Linked DNA regions of Lytechinus pictus. The protein of the gene in region 2 binds, or shares a complex with, the protein of the main gene of each other region. Links are inferred from orthologs where the notes say so. Each region holds a gene or a part of one and is shown on either strand. Other genes may lie near its edges. The genes, in order: serine/threonine-protein phosphatase 4 regulatory subunit 2-like, serine/threonine-protein phosphatase 4 regulatory subunit 1-like and serine/threonine-protein phosphatase 4 regulatory subunit 4-like.

Evidence for each region.
Region 1: serine/threonine-protein phosphatase 4 regulatory subunit 1-like (region 2) and serine/threonine-protein phosphatase 4 regulatory subunit 2-like share a complex: the UniProt entries of both Homo sapiens proteins name them as parts of the PP4 complex. The link is inferred for Lytechinus pictus from reciprocal best matches to the Homo sapiens genes PPP4R1 and PPP4R2.
Region 3: serine/threonine-protein phosphatase 4 regulatory subunit 1-like (region 2) and serine/threonine-protein phosphatase 4 regulatory subunit 4-like share a complex: the UniProt entries of both Homo sapiens proteins name them as parts of the PP4 complex. The link is inferred for Lytechinus pictus from reciprocal best matches to the Homo sapiens genes PPP4R1 and PPP4R4.

What each region holds. Positions count from the first base shown.
Region 1 is NC_087247.1:51,603,750-51,610,491, forward strand, and holds the start of serine/threonine-protein phosphatase 4 regulatory subunit 2-like, read left to right. Parts: upstream 1-2,841; 5' UTR 2,842-3,194; coding exon 3,195-3,327; intron 3,328-3,417; coding exon 3,418-3,499; intron 3,500-6,742. UniProt on the Homo sapiens protein: Regulatory subunit of serine/threonine-protein phosphatase 4 (PP4). May regulate the activity of PPP4C at centrosomal microtubule organizing centers.
Region 2 is NC_087246.1:66,574,534-66,581,275, reverse strand, and holds the start of serine/threonine-protein phosphatase 4 regulatory subunit 1-like, read left to right. Parts: upstream 1-2,001; 5' UTR 2,002-2,244; coding exon 2,245-2,251; intron 2,252-2,337; coding exon 2,338-2,382; intron 2,383-6,742. UniProt on the Homo sapiens protein: Regulatory subunit of serine/threonine-protein phosphatase 4. May play a role in regulation of cell division in renal glomeruli. The PPP4C-PPP4R1 PP4 complex may play a role in dephosphorylation and regulation of HDAC3.
Region 3 is NC_087251.1:41,440,186-41,446,927, forward strand, and holds the start of serine/threonine-protein phosphatase 4 regulatory subunit 4-like, read left to right. Parts: upstream 1-3,584; 5' UTR 3,585-3,656; coding exon 3,657-3,683; intron 3,684-4,457; coding exon 4,458-4,605; intron 4,606-5,441; coding exon 5,442-5,515; intron 5,516-6,742. UniProt on the Homo sapiens protein: Putative regulatory subunit of serine/threonine-protein phosphatase 4.

The DNA.
Region 1 (6,742 bases), on a different chromosome or scaffold from region 2:
TTACAAACAATTTAGCGACAGTGCATATCTTTAACTCGCAAAACAGAGGAGAAGAAGTGTATATGCCGGGAGGAAGATATTCCTCCCCGCGCAGAGCAATAAAACTCTGAAATTTCAAAGGGCGGACGTTTCATCAAATGCAGATATGTCTTATACCCCATCGGCTCTATATAATTCAATTGATAACCTAAGATTATTGAACTTCATTACAAGGAAAATAGTGCGCAAAAAGTTGAAACTTCTGTGATTTATTAAAATTATATAAAAAAGGATGCCTAATTTCTTTGACTTATCCTGAAGCGCTTCATTTTGAATTATGAAGAAACCTAAGTGTCATTCAAAATTTCAAACTGAGGGCGCAAAATAGGACAGGAGATGAATGTGCAGGGAAATAACATGAAGATTAATAGAATTTGAAAAAAAATATTGTACTTTTTTATTTAATACGACACGAATTTTATACATTCCTCTTTTTAAATTAGGAACCTGTTTGCCCCAAATTATGGTTGTTTAGTAATGACCTGAAAAGCGGGAGAAGTTGACTTTATGGAGGTGATGGCAGAAATAGATATAAAGATTTTACCCGCCCGGAGCCGACCCGACCAGAAGTTGCGCGATCAATAAAAAAAAAAGATAACTTCATATACTTCGGCCTAACCTTACTCTAATTCCATGCCCTAATCTATACATTTGAACTTTAACTGGCAAGAAACACATATAGCTGAGGTGGAAAAGCAGGGTTAGAGAAAGGGTGGGGGAAACAATGGAGAACTTCAATATGGTCATTTAACCGCGCGCAGCGCGGAAGCAAAATTCATATATAAATTTATAAGAAGAGTGAAGGAGTTTCTCTTTTGAGAAAAAAATAAAAATAAAAAGTATAAAAACCGACAAAGCTACCTTTCTTCCCTTTCCTCCCTTCCCTTTTCCTTTTTTCCTCTCTTTTTTCCCTTCTTTTTTTTTCTTTTTGGGGACGTTTTGGGGGGGGGCGACCGCCCCCACCGCCCCCCCCTGGCTACGCGCCTGAAGGCAAGGACTATACTCTTCCATGTACTCCAATACATATTATGACTAACATGTCATTTTTCACAAAAGTTTTATTTCAAAATATATTTTTCTTTCATGAGGACATAAAACAATATACTACCTGGGTTATATTTAGATTACTGCCCCAGGGGAATTGGTACTTAGGAGAAAACCACAAATCCCTGATAATAAAGTACACGGCCTATGGGAAAGTTGTCCTTACCCCTGCATGGTCATAATTTACTTACCAAGTTGCCAATTTGAAATCTACATACTATTATTGATCTCAATTTTAAAGCAGCTATAACTTTCTTATTGCTTGTCCAATATCTTTCAAACTTTCACCATTCTGTTTAATTTATTTTTCTCCTTCCCAACACAGCATTTTATGGCCAAGGCTAGATTCCCCTTTAACTCCGCTCTGCTACGTTCTATCTCATATCCTCATCCCGAATATCTTCTTACTATTGGATAGTACACTCTAAAATGACAGGGATTTAATATGATTCCATTATAACTGTGAACAGTGACCAGTCGATATTAGGATTTAAAATTAATTCTTAAAGATTTAAATGCATGTAAATCGATCTTAAAGATTGATTTTCAAATCCAAATTTAACCAATATTTAAATCCTAATCGACTGCATGGTCACTATTCATAGCCGTAATGTATGTATTTTTACAAATCCTTGTAACATAATCATTCTAGAGTATATAATTTTTTAGTTGATAAGTGATATGAATTGCATTTGCCATTGATTTAATTGCAAATGCTGGCATACTTGATTGATTGATCTCACTACATTAGTGAGCACTGAGCAAAGGGAAAAATTGTGTTATTAAAAATGATGAAGCTTTATTCCCAACCTAGTTCGTGTACTGTAACTTCTGCTAAATTAATAAGAACTTATAAAATGCATTTGTTAAAACAATTTTGCTTTTATCCATCGAAATGAGAGAGGGTCTAAACATTTGTTCATGGCTCATGAAATTACCCTATATCGGCAAGTTAACTTATCACATACAGATGAGTACATTCTGAGCTGTTTTTAAAACAGACTTTGTTGAACTTCAGAAAAAAAAGATTAACTGATTTTTCCACGAATTTTGTTTTTCTTTCTTTTTTAATTTCTTGTTGTCATTTGTTTATTGATCTTATTGAACTAATCGATGTTTTTATTCTGGAGATTATAATAGGCTCCCCTATTCTGTCCCCCTTTATGCACTTGAAACGGAGGGGGGGGGGTTGTACCCTGTATACAGGCCCGGGGGGCAGTTATTATATTGTATGTACACACGCGCGGCCAAATTATTTCCAAACACCCCCTATACGAGTTTTTCTCTGTGTTCAAAATAACCCCCTAAACAAGTTTTTCGCGGGCTTTATTTGCACATTTTGGCCCCTAAACAAGTTGTCGCCAGAATATGACCCCGGGGAAAAGCAGGGGCGGAAATCTCTCCCAAAAGGTAGGGGGACAAGGGGCTGAAAAATTTGACAAGCAAAAAAAAAAAAAGAAGAAGGTTACACCCCGAATTTAAGGTCATTTCGACGAAAATAATTTTGACAAGCAAAAAAAAAAGAAGATCATCCCAAAAGTAAGGTCATCTCGTCCTAAAATATACATGTTTTATTTCGATTTTGAATCTCTTTCCAGGCATAAAAGACCAAAAAAATAGTGGGGGGACATTTGATATTTAGTGTCCCCCCTACTATTTTGAGTAAGGGGGACACGTCCCCCCCCCCCCTGTCCCCCCTGGGATTTCCGCCCATGCTTGGGGGAAAAAATACCCTAAACACGTTTGGCTATAGTATAAAAAAAAAGCTTTGGAAAAAACATACCCTAAAATCCGGGCCTAAAATGACCCCGGAAAATGAATGACCCTGCGATTGACCATGACGGACCAGTCTTTCAAAACTACCCCTCGTCACCCCCTGCCCCGGGATACCGTCAGTCCCGAGATCGACACCCATGCCCATTTATTTTTTAAGTTTTATATATTTTCTAGTCTATATATTTATTCAGTTTCACATGAGTGGCACTGGCACAGATTTGTGAAGCTCCTCGTCGTCGTCGTACGAACCACGGCCAAAAGCGGCCTACGCAACGACTGTCGTATCTTTCGCTGCTACCCTGTAAAATTACGAATCGCCTGACTTTAACCGTAAAATGTACAAATCAACAAGTTCAGCGCTGCATTTGTTATACACAGGTAGTATAGTAGACTTTGACTCGAAATCTGTGAAAATGGAAGATTTGTCAAGGGATGCTGAGCTTGAAAACTACTTAGACGCTTTAAACGGTAAGTTACAGAAATGTTATTAATCAAAACTATAACTAAATATGTTTTGGAACATTCTAAATATGGTGTCAAATCATTGTATCTTTTCAGATTTCGTGAAAAAGCCGTCGAAAAGTATCCCGTCCGTGCTGGAACAGTTGATTCAAAGGATAGCCCGCCACGGTGAACCATTGTGAGTATGATTGCGTTTGCTAAACTAAACTGCGAGGCAGTCGCATTCAGTGCAGTGTACTGCACTGTGGCGCGCGCCAGCGCTAGCGCTAGCGGCTAGTCGCCTGGCTTGGGCTTGGCTTTTTTTGGCCAGATCAGGATTCAGAGCAGAGTCGAGAGTAAAAAAAAAAAGGAAAGACTTCCTTTTGAATTTATGTCCCCTCCACTAATGAAAAAAAAATACTTTTCCAAAACCCCCTTCTAAAAAGCTCTATCACTCTCTTTTTCTTCTTTTTTTTCCTTCTTATGAACATATGAGTTACCGGTATGTCCGGTGTGCTAACTTAGACCAAAAAGCTTCGGTCTCTGACTCTGTAAGACTAGTGTTAATGTTATGTTGGCTCTTCCGTAACCCAGGGAGCTCCGGCCCGCGCAGCGGGCAGGAGCTTACCGTGTATTTTACCATACTCACGGGACTAGGGTGATTTATGGTCTAAATATTTCTCCAAATGAATTGTGAAAACAGAAATTATGCACTTACCACGATTATATGGATGAAGGTCTAACGAGTGGCAGTTTCCTGACATCTGGGCACAGACTGGAACCTCAAAAAACGAAAAGTTCTCTCCTTCTACCCCCGTCTCGATCGGCCATTTTTGTTATTGAATAGTATAGTGGATTGCTAATTGTCTAAAAGTGGCAGAGTAGTTTTAAAAAGAAGAGAAAACAGGGGTTGGTGGACAGGTTAATTACTGAATGTAATTTTGTTGAAAACGTGGATTAAAAGAAATGATGAGTATATACAGTTTAAATTGATCTATTTTGTGGATAGCCAACTGGGTAAAATTGGCAGTGGTTTTGAAGAGACAGGGAAAGAGGGGTTGATGGAATACAGGTTAATTACCGACTATAATTTCGTTTAGAAATTGGAGTAAAAAAGAACGATAAGTACCTGTAGGCTCGTTGTACTGGGCGGTTCACCGGTGCCCACCTGAGGCCATCGGTCACCAGTGCAATTTATTCCAGACTGGTGGATCGCTATTAAAAGAAAAACGTAAGTGTCACCAAAGACTGAATATCAAGCACTTTTCAGGCCTTTACTAGTATTCCTTATCTAGATGTCAAAACTTGCACATGATACTATATTCCTAAACAATAAATCAACCAAGTAGAGCTATGAAAATAATGGTACCCGTCTACTAGGGACTATCAGATCAGGATTTCTCAATTTTTTTGCTTGAATTAATTGTCCCAAATAGGTGTTATCCATGGGGTCATCCATTTTTTCTGTTTGTATTATTTGCAATTTTAGTTACTCCACTGTAGAATTTGCTGCGATACCAATCACACGTCTCAGAAAGTTAAACAGTGTGTGTAGTATTATTAAAGATAAGTGAAATAAACTTTTGTTGGGGTGGACCTGTCCTTTATTGATTAGGTTAAGTAATACATTATTCTGATACTAGTAGCACAATTCAGTGACTTTCAAACACTCCTAAAATGTATTAAGAATCTCTGAAGCATTTTGTTGGTTCATGTGAGAAAAAACTAAACATTTTCTCACATCTCCAATGATGTCATGTTGTATTAAATTGATAATGTTGGTTAATGATCATACATATACTCATTGTACTTGTAGGATTAATGATGATCATCATGATGATAGCAATGGTGATAATGATCATGGTGATGGGAGTGGTAATGATTATGGTGGTGATAGTAATTAGTGATGGGTACAATTGTGTACATTATGGAATGTAAATACATGTACAGTACTATAAAAAATACTTTAAAATGTTTTACCGGTATACCTATATCCTAAGAACATATATGTACATGTACATGTACATGCACATAAGGGATCAGGGTACATGTAGGAAATTATTTATTTTTATTTTTGGGGCGGCCATCTTTTTATTTCCACATTTTGGTGACTGTAGAATTAAGGGGGCTATTTTGTACTTTTTAGTGGTAAAAAGCAATTATGTAGTAAATGCAAAAATCATTAATTCCGCAATAGTTAGAATACTTATACTGATATTCTATTATCTTGAATATTGTTTGTGACAGGTCTTGGAGCAACTCTAGAAAGAATGGTCACCCCAAAACATGCATTTTTGGGGAATTTTAGGGGCAATTTTGGCTGTCATGAGGGCGAAATCTCCTGGCGCCCTCTTGTACAGTGTTTTCCTACACTATAAGGGATGTTACATGTACATTTATGTAGTAATGCAAGAAATTATGAAACATGCAGTAATGTATTATTTCTAGATTTTATTTGTTTTTACCAAATTTATGGTTGACTTTAATTTTTTAAGTATCGTTGTCATACATGTAGGGGCTCTGCAAAATATAAAAAATGCAAGATTTAAGAAATTTCTACATTTTTCTATTTTATGTGAAGTCAGTGCAACACTATGTACTGTTGCCTTACATTTCTTGTAATTTCTGAGTGCGTACATGTAAGTACTACATTGCTTGAGCCATTTCGTTTCAGAAAACTAACATACTTTGTACTCTGTAAGACTTAAAAATTTCAAAAGGCTTATTTCATTTTTATATTTCATTTTTATTTAACAAGGTAGCCCCATCAGTAGTTACAAAACTGTTATACTAGGAGGCCCTGCATAACATAAAATGCATAAATATACATGAAAAACATCCTATGGTGATATGAAAGATCAGTACAAAATGATATTGGATGCTACTTGTCAACGAGCAATAATATAAAAATATTTACAACATAATTTATGATTACAATACATGTTCATCTTTGGTTAAATTATGATCAACGAAAATATAATAAACAAAACAGTTCATTAAGTGTAAGAAGATAAAAGACATTCGGTAGGAGCAAATCCGGTTTAAACTAGTCATATAACTTATTGTATTATAATAAGCTGCTTTCAGAAATAATATTAATGAATAGTATAAGAATAGGATAGGTGTGATTGTATGCAATTTGTAGTTGATTATTAGGGGAAGGCGGGGTAAGTTGAGCATAGGGGCAAGTTTAGCCACCACCCCCCAGGCCAATAATGAATGAGTCAGACATTGTGGTGGTGTCATGCATTGATGACCCAATACATAAACCTAACCCCACCACATTTTTCAACTTTGAAACAAAAAGTACTTTTTTAGAGGAAAAATACAAATTTCAGCCAAAAAAGTAAAATAGGGTGTGAAATAGAGCAGTTTTTTACCCACACACGTAATTAAATATAACAAAGAAATAAGAACAATATTGTTAGTCCAGGTATGGATT
Region 2 (6,742 bases):
GGACTGCATTTTTTAGAAGTGGTTTGATATTGGTAAGTACATGTTAGCTCTCAGTACTCGTTGGTGGAAAACAGAACAGGGCGCCCAATATGACTCTATTACATTTCGCAATTATGAAAAGGATTGGTAGCCCTATCTTCCTAACAGTATTTTTATTTAAAGAAGAAGTTGTGTATCGGAATACCAAATGCGAGTGCGAGCTGTTTCTTTCTTTCCTTTGAATGAGGTATTCTAAGTGCAATCGGGAGCGCAATTTATATCATCATGAAAATGATGGGTATCTTCCAAACTAATTATGCGTGTGAAGCGCAAATCCGCGAGCTGATTTTGTTTACTATTCCGATCTAGAAAAGACAATAATATTTAAGGACTATTTTAAGCACTATATTGAACATGAAGGATTATAGTGGCGTACCGTGGGTCACGGCATTGGGGGGGGGGGGGCACCAGTAAAAATTTTGAGTCACTTAGTGGGCGCGCGAAGCGCGATCAATTGTCAGTTATGACCTAATAGAGACATTGTAAAGAGTGTGCCATTAAACGGATATGTATATCACTGATACAAAAATGCGAAGCGCAAGCTGATTTTTTGTTATTCAGACCTAAAAAATTGACATTATAAGCACATTTTTGTAATCATGATACCTACCTCTCTCACAAGACGAACTATGCGAGCGCGAAGCGCTAGCTGATTTTTTTTGGGTATATATTTTCCCCAAACAGGTACATTTTAAGAACTATACGTTTTAGGAATTCATGAAGAGCATACATGTCTCAACATAGTCATTTAATGCGAGCGCCATGCAAGCGCTTGCTGATTTTGTTAGAATTACACCTAACCCATGAAACACTTTTTGTAGTCATTGTAATCATGACCATGATAGGCCTTCATATCTCACTAATCAAATATTGCGAGCGCAAGCTGATTTTTTTTATTCAGACGTGAAAAGGTGCATTCTAATGTTTGCTTGTAGGAATTCACTAAGACCATACGTACTTCACTACTGACCGAATGATGAGAGCACGAAGCGCGAGCTGAATTTTTTGATATTCTGACCAGAAAAAGTGACATTTTAAGGACTGTTTTTAGGAATTCGTGAAGAGCAGACATAATCTCACTTGTGAAGACTATACAGTATAATCATGGAACACCTGATTTCTTTTCTTGTCTTTTTTTTTAGTTATATTCTAAGAATATTCTGTTATCAAGAAAAGGGTGGCGATCTCCTTATTATGTGAGAGCAAAGCCAAGCTGAACATGATATCCTGATCTGAAGATCTAAGGGATAGTCCAAGCAGGGGCGGATCCAGGATTTTCTAATGGGGGGGGGGGCACATATTTCCGAGGAAAATTTGACAAGCAAAAAAAAAAAAGTTCTCAACCAAGAATTAATGATATTTCATCCTCGAAAAAATTTGACAAGCAAAAAAAAGTCTTCACTTTCAAGGTTGGGGGGGGCACACTTCTGTTTTAACGGCATTTTTACATTACAAATTTTAATTTTGCATCTCAAGGGGGGCACGGGCCGGCTGTGCCCCCCCCCCGTACCCGTGTGAGTCCAAGGTCTAGCAGCCTACATGTACATTTATGTCAAATAAGACTAAATAGAGCGCAAAATATTTTGATATTCAGGATTGAATAAAAATAGAAAAATCCCACAAGATATGGCTCAACTAACATTAAGCAAATCATGTGAGAGTCCATGTCAAAGCCAATTAAGTGGAAATTAATCAAATTAAATATGATTTAGGGCTATTATAGCTTATAAGGAATTATCAGAATTTATGATTGTGATATTTATAGGCCTACTTAAAACACAACACAATGCAGTGGCCGCGGAACGGTTTTCAAAGTGGGGGGCTGACCGTTGGGCTGACCATGCAAAAAATCACAATCATATTATCATTTTTACGTTTTTGTACACGGTTTTGGAAAAAAAGTGGGGGGGGGCGTGAAGCCCCCCCCCCCCCCCTAGCCCCCCGCTTCCGCGGCCTCTGAGTTTAAATCATGTTTCACCATGTATACAAGAGAAATATTAGAAATTATTTTCCAGCCCCCCCCCCCCCCCCGCTTCCGCGGCCCCTGCAATGGATAAAAGTAAAATGATTTGAATTTTTTTTTTATTCCTCCCAAAAAGGGTGAAATTATAGAGGAATATAATGGTCATTTTAATTCCTCTGTGAAAGACTAATAGCTTTCAACCAATCAAATAATTGAAAAAGCCACCTCGTGCTTTATTCATCATGGCGGGTGAGTATTTACGAACGATGACCCTTCTTCCGTGTAAAAAGGTGTATCTCGAAATTCTACTAATTTCAAATTTTCTGTCATTTCAGATCTCAGCCTTCTTGCTGGTAGTTTTGACGGAGATCCCCAAGACTGTAAGTTTTATTTTACTTTGTTTTCACAGATTTGTGTGCCATATTTGACTATTTGAGAAGTGGATGATTTTTACGGCCACCTGAGCCTCTGCGGTAGATATGGTGTACCGGTAGATGTTTGAATGGGCCGTTTCTTGTGTGTTATTCCTCTGGCAGGAAACGAACCGGCGTGATACCGCGGATGATGTGATGTGTGTACGACTGTGTCTTGATGACTGAGCGAGTGTGTTGTGCAGTGACAATGCAAATGTGACTGTCAATCTATCGGCTACTGAAATTCATGAGTCATGTGTCACTAAATTGAAGGCATAATTGTTAGAGATAGATTCTAACATTAGACGTATTGGCAGAAATACTGTTCAGTTCAGTCTGTTGTCTTTCATGTCTGTTGAGTGTTGTCGAGTTGTCGATTTTTGGCCAAACTTGCTTTGGAAAGTTTGGGTAGATGGAGCTGGAGTGGAGTCCCCTTTTCTAACGTAACGACTAACGTCGTTTAACGATGTTAGCAGTAACGTTAGATGATTAGCCTGGCTGGGCCAGGCAGTCATGGTGGCAGCCAACCACTGCGGGAAACTCCGGCCCTACGACTCGGGAGTTTGTCGTAAGTGGCCATTATCTGTGGACTTAACAAACATCTCACTTTTGCTTTTGGTCAGTTGGTGATCGGCATTATCATGAAATATAGAGAATCACTGTACACTTTGTACAGCAGCGCTTAATTCAGTCACACACATTGGTTCCCTAATATTTCCACCTCCATTCATCGTACTTGTTACCTCAGGCGATGGTTCGTGTAGGCTCCTGCGCACCTCTACACTTCACTACCGCTACCCTCGGCTACACCTACCCGAACCATCTTAAGACTCACTCCTTGCCCTTTCTTGTAAACGTTTCGAAATTGGCGATTTGATGCCGGTTCGCAGTAGCCTATCTGACAGTGACACGTATTAATTCACCGCTGAATCCAAAATGGTGAACGTGAATTGCGAATTTGAGACGTTTACAGGAAAGTGCAAGGAGTGAGTCTGTGTCCGATAGTAACTAAGTTTAGTCACTGTAGAGTACGCTTAATGTCTTTTTTTTTATATGACGGTTGCCTTTTTTACCAAAAATTGACACAGTTTGTCACTGGTTTTCGAGAGCAAACTAGTATTCATGTTTCGGGTAGGTGTAGCAGAGGGTAGCGGTAGTGAATTGTAGTAATATGTGATTCGTAATGCGCCTAATCCACTCGGCAGAGTGCCCTAGGCGCAGGCGTAGTGGAGCCTACATGAACCATCGCCTGAGGTAACTTGTCATCTGCTTGTATGGTAAGGTCCCCCAAGTCTGCGCAGTCCCCCTTGTCTGCGCACACACATACCTGCGCGATTATAGTAAAAGAAGGTACACAACAATCACAAATTTTACATATGCAATAGATTTTTTTTTAAGATCCTACTCAAAATGGTGGAAAATAATGAATTTTGGGCATAAATTCATGTGACGTTCTCAAATTGTAGCCTTTCTCATCAAAATCCCTGAATCGTGTGTTAAGTGAATGGGTGCGCGGACAAAGGGCACCGGGGGGCACCATTTTTTGTTCAGTCTGAAAATGACTGGCCAAGGTTTTTTTTAAAGAAAATCATAATATCTATCTTTTCAATTTTTTTTTGAGATTTTTGGCACACTGATAAGAACATAAGGAACATAAATTCATGTTAAACATTAACTAAATAGTTAGGTGCACAGACATGGGGCCCCCCCTCTTCATACACTTACTTTTCCTGGGTGGTTCACTAAAATCCATGATTTGGCCTGCTGATCTTTCTCATCCAAATCGCCAGTGTCTACAATATTTTACAATTGTCATCCCAAAAGGATGTTTAAGACACCGATGAATCATTTCCTTGTCCGGTTCGTGCATAAAGACAGCATGCCAATCTCACTCCTGATTCATTTAATTGAAATACAGGGTTAAAATTTGGAAGTCATTTTTTTTGTAAGGAAACTGAAATAAAAAGTATACCAACCACACGATGATAAGCTCTCTGCAAAGACGGTACTAGTACTATTAGTTTTGAGCATTACTGGAACATTTTGGGGGGGGCCATGAGGGTGTTTCACAAAGAGTGAAAGGGGTGTGAATATAGTTGTATTAAAGTCCAAGTTGGTTTAATTTTGCTGAGAGGATGCACATTACTGCATATTTGTCAATAAGATTGCTGGTTACTATCATGTGCACATAGACATTTAAGGATGACTTAAGTTAAGTCGCACTTAAAACTTTGTGAAATACAACCCCAGGATTCGAGTCTCTCAGGCGGGACATTCCGGACATGTTTGTGACCAGTTGACAGACCAGTCAGCCTAAATCTAGGACTATTAAAGAAAGTATCATATCGTGTCAATATAAAAGGTGAAAAACAACTCCCTATGGTGTATCTTCACAAAAACCTTAATGTAACACAGTAGTATAGTCTATAAAAGGGCTCTACCTGTTATTAGAATGCCTACCTGCATAGTGATTGGTATAGGAAAGGTATCACCAGTACTGATTGAACAGCTCTTTTTTTTTTTTTCTTTCTTCTATCGAATCTCAATGCTTTGCTCAGATACACTCAAGATAAATTATGCTTAGCAGAGAAAAAAATACACAAGATTCTAGGCAATTTTGCTCTTGAAATGCTCAAAAGAGCCCTAAAAAAGTGTTATTGTAAATCCCCATTCTCTGCAATGTTGATGCTTATCTGGGCCCCATCTTACAAAGAGTTATGATTGATCCAATCAATCGTAACTCTATGGAAATCCATTAGTGTCATAATTTTTTCTTCAGAAAATTTGCAAAATGTCCTTTGTAAACAAAGGAGAACACACCAAATTGTCAAGAAATAAATGAATTTATGGATATGCTTTCATATCTAGAATTTTTTTTTGAACAAACATGCATTTTATATGTTGACTTTGCTAGCTTTCCATAGTTGCGATTGATCGGATCAATCGTAACTCTTTGTAAGACGGGGCTCTGATGTTACAGATTCAGGCATTAGGTTGGGAAAAGTAGCTCCTGAAAATAGATATTAATTTTTTGCCTGCTACTTAGGTACCGTTAATTTGTAAAAATTATGGGGAAAAACTATACTTAAAAAAATGTATATGATTATGAGCAAAAACACTTTAGAGGTTTTCCGACATGAATCGACAAACTTTGGTGTGAAAATGGAATTGATCTGTCAATCAACACGCGACACCGATTGTCCCAGACCAGTAAAAATTGCTGTCAGGCCAGTAACTTTTCAGAAATAGCCAGATTTACTAGTCCAACATGACCAGTAAAAAATATATCAAACGGATACAAATTATATTTTCTCCTATTTTGTAAATTCTAAAAATGGCTCTCATGAATGTTGTGCATGTGTGTACTGTATGCTTGCATTTTTTTGGGGGGGGGGTGCAATAAAAGCAAAAGACAGCCAAATAAACTTGCATCCTTTTTTATGTTTTTATCTATTTTGGGGACCAGTAAATTTTAGGTTTGGACCAGTAAAAAATTGAAAAACTTGGTATCTACTGGTCCGACATTAACAGGTTGGACTAGTTGATATAAAGGGTTAGTGTGAAGCCTTCTGTTAAGAAATGTATGATTGAACTTACTAAAAGAAAAATGATGCTGCTTTTCAAATTTTCAAGTAAGGCTGCTAGGGCAATTCCTTGTAATGATAACCTTTTTTTTCAATATTTGCTTCACTTCACAAACTCTTCAAGCCATATTAATTTGAGAGCATTACAGGTAAGTCCAAACTAAAGGGATTGTTTCCAAGATGCCATTTTTTAAAAGTTCTGATATTTGACGTAATATAAGCAGCATTTGTAAGCGAGAATTTATTGATAAATGCTAAAAATTATTATTTTAACTTTAAAGGGATCATTGAACAAATTTTTGTAATAAATAAGTGATGATAAACACTGAAAAAAAAAAATTAAACATATTTCAAAGTTTTAGGATCACTCTTAGGGACAGTGATTTTCCGCGATCGCGGAAAACGGACGGAATTCACGGAAAGGGCCTTTTGAAACGGAAAGTGGCATATCAAACGGAAAATCACGGAAAACGTATTTTCCCTCAAAATAAACAGAATAGCAACAGAAATTACTCCAAAATCACAACAAAATGAGAATATTAAATGGCCACAAAACCCCAGAAAACACGATCTCACTTCGCTACTATCATGACAATTCACACATCATGACTGCACTCGACATCAGCACACTCGATTGTACCCCGCACCCGCCCATGGCCGGCCGGGTTGGGCTTCACATGCACACATATCATTCAACTACACGGTCGTGTGTTGCTGCCCTCTACGTTTGAAGATGTAACAGC
Region 3 (6,742 bases), on a different chromosome or scaffold from region 2:
CAATTGTTTCATTATTCCACACTTGTACCACTCGTTTCTGTACTTTTTGCGTTTTAAGTTTCTGCCGATATTTTGGTAGCAAGTGTATTACGTTATGATCCGAAAGTCCTATTCCAGGTCGAATTACGGTCTTATAGGAATCTTTAACAGAACAATAACATCTATCCAATATATTCCCTTCTCGTGTCGGCTTGTCAATTACTTGACAATAGTTCGGCAACATAGCTTCCAGTCTACAGTGATTAAAATCACCGAGTACAATTTTGGGGGAGTCCCGTGATTCAGCTTCCATCTCCCTAACTTTATTTTGAATAAGCTGTTCTGCTTCATTTTGATTAGCATCGGGAGCAATGTAGACCAGAAATAAATGAACTTGGGGAAATTCTCTGGGCAAGTAGAACGGGCGAAGTGACACACATAGCATTTCCAGATTTTCGTTGCATATAGAATTTTTAATTGTAAAGTTCGTACACCATCTATCATTTACATAGAGACATATCCCACCACCGCGTCTTTTCTTGGTTTGTTGAAATGAACGATCCAATCTCGCTACATTAAAACCATCTATTCGTATACAATCGTCATTAATGTCAGGGTTTAGCCATGTCTCTGTAAAACATATTATACTCGAATTCCGGAAATCATTAATGTAACTTGTTAGGGCTTGAATCTCATCCAGTTTATTGTACAGTGAACGGACGTTGCTTAGTGTAATTGCAGGTAATGGGGGTCTGTTTCCCCTTTTCCGAATTCTGTTGCGGATCCCTCCGCGTTTCCCTCTCCGCTTTTGCTGAGGTATGCCATTATCATCCTCGCGGGTCGGTGTCCATTCTGGGAGATTCAATGGGCTAGACTTGGACGTTGTGTAGTCGGCTAGGTAATACAAGTATTCTCGCGAATACTTGATAGTAGTAGTCTGTCCGGGTGATGCATATACATGACTATTTTGTGGTAGAACGATTACGAAAAGTAGCACAAAACATACCCAGATGCACGAGATGGATTTGACGAACATGATGACATAAACATAACTTCAAAGACAAATCACGAAATCCGGAAAATAAGCGACAAAAACAGAGACAAAATACCATGTAACAGGTCGCCGTAGTACAGCGCCCTAAGAATGATTTATGTCTATCCCTCTTCTACATGGAGTTGGTTTCTACTTTTGGTATTCCCTAAATTGCCCTAATGTCACTGGCCCACATATGAAAATGGAGGTAAAAAAAGGCTTTACCTCCATGATATGAACATATATATCCCGAAACTTGTACATGTATGATGTGGATGATAGAGAATTTCTAGATGCACATGTACTGTACAGTGTCTGTTACAATTTTACAGGAATTATCATTTGGCGAGGTGCCATGTCAAAATAAAAGTATGTGAATGTAATTTTTACCAGTATATAAAACCACATACAAGTGTGGATTTGGCTGAAAATGTCAGGATGTATTTTCAGGTATACAATCACTATCTCTGTAAGATAAGTGTTCCAAAATGTTTTTATTTTTAAAAAAGAGAAATAAAAAAACAGTACCAAGAGCTAAAAAGAGCGCTACATAGATATCCAGAAATTCAAAATTCATTTTTTTCTCAAAGAATCAACAGCTTAAAAGCTATTCAACAGCCACTGCAATGTTATTAAGATTGGAATGCAAGATGAAAGTGAAGAATAATTCACATTGTTGACCATTATGATAACAAAGCTTTAGATGGGCTTTCATATTTTGTCACTTTAGAGCACATCCACACAAAGTTAACTACATGTAAATGTTAATCATCTTGTTTTCTTTTACTTTTGGTGAATTTGCATTTTCTGTCAGGACCTTTAACACATGATGCAGCTACTTTGAATCGAAATATATTCTCTATCTCAAAGTCTTATATCTACATGTGTTTGTGAAAATCACAAAGTGCTACTTCATATTAAAGTAAAAACTGTCTTTTTCATGATGATAAAAACATTCACAGACATAGAAAAGTATATGTTGGCTCAGTTGGAATAAACTAAATAAATAATCTATAAAATGGAAAAAGGACTGTGATATGTTTGTTGGTAAGGGTTTGGCATTCAAATAGGCAGCTTATCCACACTCAGCATACTTGTTGAAGCTGGTATAGGGCTTTCTGCGACATCATTGGAGCGTCAAACCCGCCTTTGAAATGACAGCCCCATTGATACTAGGTATTCTCATTGTTCACAATAATCAATACCATCCCATTTCACCTGTAGAAATACAATGCTACTTGACTCTATTCAGATTCTTCATAATCAACTGGAGGTACTTCTTGGATATTAAAGTGTGTGACCTCATGAAAATAATACCTGGTGGGTGTTTCATAAAGCTGTTCGTAAGTTAAGAGCGACGTTAAGAATGACTGGTCAACCTCTCTTATGCACTATATAATCACCAATGAACATTTAATGGTTAATATCATTTACCACAAAAAAGGATCACCAGTCATTCTTTAAGTCACTCTTAACTAACGAATAGCTTTATGAAACAGCCCCAGATGCAGTCTGAGTGAGAATGAAATGAACATAAATGCCCAACTGAGATGGCAATTTAGATTTATTTTCATCTTTCATGATTGAGACCTTGGTCTCGTAAAACAAATTGAATCGTACACTTGATTTTTACAATTGATTTTTACGATTGATCATACATTGTAGTCAATGCAATCAATCTTTAAAAAATTGGTTCTACGACCATTGCTAAGCTTTGAGTTACGGGCCCCTGGTGCCTGCATGTTTTCTTTAAATATTACAAACATGCTCGTGATCTACAAAAACTGAAACAAAATCCTCCTTGATATTTCCTGTAATCTTGTCCTTTTCAATTTGGGTATACAGTAAATTAAACTTGCATTTTTATAAGTCAGTATTATATGAGTCAAATATTCACCAAAGTCGAACCCATTTTGGAGACGAGGGCCCTGTCTTACAAAGAGATGCGATTGATCCGATCGACCAAAACGATAGAAAGCCAGCAACGCCAACATCTCAATGCATGTTTGATCATAATGTTTTATTGTTTTCTAGATCATCGTTGTCTTGACAATTCAGTGCGTTTCTCTGTTTACAGGCGGACATTTTGCAAATTTCCTGTGTGGCAAATTACATGACATTTATGGATCTCATATTTGAGGTTGATTGGATCAATCACAACTTGTAAGACTGGACCCAGATTATGCACATGTTATTCCTCTTAAGTTGAATTTCTCCCAAGTCAAACCAATTTTTGTGGTCGTAATAGAGTCAACTCAGACAAAGTTACATGTACTTTGTAGAAAGATGGATACAAACTGATCTCCTCTACATCAATCTTTTGCTTCTTTTAGGGACATTTAACATTCTATTTGACAAGGACCCTTGAAGTAAAAGAGAGATGTGAAAATTGTGCCTAGTAATCAACTTAATTCTTGTCATGTTCTGTCATATATTCTAGAAATACGTTCTGTAGATAAGGTACTGTTCTCTGTGCAATTTTATATATTTCTTCATTTCAATGCCAGCTTTCATGATATTACCAATTTATAATCATAATAATGGGGATGATGTCTTATTGAATTACAGCTCTGGGCAAGAAGTGCAACGATTAAGTGTCATTCAGAACCTACCCAACCTCCTAAAGAACAATAATGTTGATGCTATGCGCAGAGTAGTACCCAAAGTCAGGGTAAGTTTAGTAATTGCCGATTGGGGGTTGTTGTATTTGTGAATGTAGAGTTTTTCTAATCATTACACAAAAACATAATTTACAGGCAAAGGAAATTTGAAATGCTCTTGCTCATGAAAAAGACTATATAAACATGTGGCTGTACATGAACATTAGATTGTATAAAATATTGAAAGATAGTAGGCCTATTCATGTAGAGTATAGCAAGCTGTGCATTTTGTTTTAAAAGAATGTGAGGAATGCTAAATCTGATTACATGAAGGCCTACATGATCAAACAGGAAATAAATTTTGTTGAAGGCCTGCTATTATGAAGCCGTTATAAAAAATACCCGCAGCCTTCCAAACTAGGGAACTGCTCCTAGATGCTATTGAAGGTACTGTACGGTATACCAGAGTCTTTGGAACTTACCTGAGAGTGGTACTACAATATGTCCATGTTTGTGATTACAACTTTATCAGATAGCAATGTTGGAAAGCAAATATTGGCATTCCATAGAGATATGGTAAGTGTCAAATGGGTGTGATATTAAGGGAGTGGTATATATATTTGAATGCCTTATTAGATTGATTAGCAATTTAAAGCCGTTTTCAATGTGATGGTTATCAATTCTTTCTATCTGAAATAAATGCTCTTCTGTATATTAAGGGTGTGTATTGCATCACGTAAAATGCCATTATGATTTACGTTAGTTTGACATTGTTGAGTTGACCCCCCCCCCCCCCGCCAATCCTTTTTTGGTCTAATTTATGCATTTCTATGATTCCTTTGTAGGATGTATTACACTTAGCGAGCCAAGACCTCCAGGAGGCAGCAGCAGCAGCGTTTGTGAAGATAGCGGAGGACCAATCAGTGCCACACCTAACCTATGCACAGACATTCCTACAGACGATCTTACAGAATGCTGATAATAGAGACCCAGGTCAGTTTCATACAACACAATACAATTGATATCTCCACCATGACTGTTTGACAGCACTTTACAAAGAATCAAATACTCCTAGAGCATTTTGAATGAGGATTAATTATTAATGATTTCAGTTGACTTTACTGTTTCTTTCAGAGAAGCCATCATAATTTCCGCTCAATTTATGTTGCATAAAGAGACAAGTTTGGTTTAGAACTGTGAATGAATTCACTATTGAGTTCTTAAGAATTTCAAAACTTTGTTTTTCAATGCAACCTGAGCTGTATTTGGCAGATAGTTTTTGTATAAATATAAGAAGTTTCCACTGTAAATGTAATTTTTATTACATTTATTATTACTTAATACAAACCATCCTGTGTAAAATTATAACAAATATTTTTATGAAACACCACTCAAAACTTTGTTAACAAATCTAATATCCATAGAGTTGTATTTGAATTAAGATGAATTAAGATGATATTCAGTTTTTAAAATTGACTGCAGTACATAGGGAGTCACTGAGATGGTACATGTATGTGTTCTAAAATGATGATTCATTCATCAAAAGAATATTGATTTCATGTGTGAATAGACTTATCTTCTTGAGACGCTATGAGCTTCTGTTGAATTAGAAAACAGATCAATACCAACACTGTCTACCAACTCCTGTAGAAAACCCAGCGAGTATAAGCTTTGTACACTCATATCAACTGAAATATTTTTTTGGTTTTACTTTTGTGTAGATACTTTATATTCCTGTGGATTCCACTTAAAAGAATGAAAGACTAAGATTATTAGCGTACACTAATAGTGTTAACAGAATACTTGTATTATTATATTTTTATTTGTAGATATTTCTGATTCCTGGTTAGAAGTCTTACTCAACGTCATTACACACCTTCCAAAGGATGTCCTCAAGAAAGATGTAAGAAAACAAGATTTTATTCAAACACATTCCCTTAAAATTTGTTGTAAGCTTTACTATACGCTCTGAATTACATGGATTTGAAATAAATCCAGATTGGCTCTTCAATATTGATCAATCAAACTGTGGATTTGATTTGAATCCTATAAAGATTTATTTTTGAATCTCAAAGGATTTAAATTCAAATCTGTACAGATTGAATCTAAATTCAGTATTTAGCCGATCCGGATTTATTTTAGATTCATGAAATTAAAAGTGGATTTGATGACTGCTTTCAGAGGGGGGGGGGGGGCAGAGGTGTTTCATGAAGCTGTTAGTAAGTTAAGAGCGACTTTAAGAATGACTGGTGATCCTTTCTTACACGCTAAACCATCGTCTATGCACTCTATGAACATTTTGGTGTATTCAATTTACCGCAAGAAAGAATCACTAGTCATTCTTAAAGTCGCTCTTAACTTACGAACAGCTTTATGAAACACCCACCAGGCATGATGTACAAATGCTTTTGATGGTGGGGTGTTTTAGATAATGCATTGATTGCTAGAGGCTTGATAGAGGAACTAGCCCCTAGGGGCCCTCTTTCATATCCCAAGAACAAGATGATAAAAAGTATTAATAGAATGGGCAGTATGCAAATGAGGGATTTGATGATGTGACATGCTTATTATTTCTTTTACATTTTATTTTATGAAATATCAAATATTTAACTTTTACTTGATTTGATGACAAGAAGATCTTTGGTAAATCAAAATGAATGATAACGATGACAATTGTAAAAATGTATAGTTCCATGAGGAATCACATTAAATTTGTGTGTTTGCTCAGTTGGTAGAGCATCCGTCTTACAACTGGGTTGTCAGGAGTTCAAACCTGGCTGCATCAGACCGTTGAAAGATGGGAGTTTCTGCTACCCTGTTTGGCGTTCAACGATTAAAGGGATAGAGCCATGTCGATCTGGCGCTGCACAGCGGCTGCCGCGCCCACAATCAATTGGGCTCAGCAAATTTTCAGAGTATTTCATTTCATGTCTATTTCGGATGATAAAATATGGGTTCTTGGATTCTTTAAACAAATTTTACATTATTAGGGGGAAAATCTGAGGTATTTCACATTTCTGATAATAAAATATCTAAATAGGGAGTGTGTGACATCATGAGCTTTAATATTTTTTTATATTGCCTATAGATACGATGAATATCACTGTTTTTGTGGAAATAAGCAAACGTT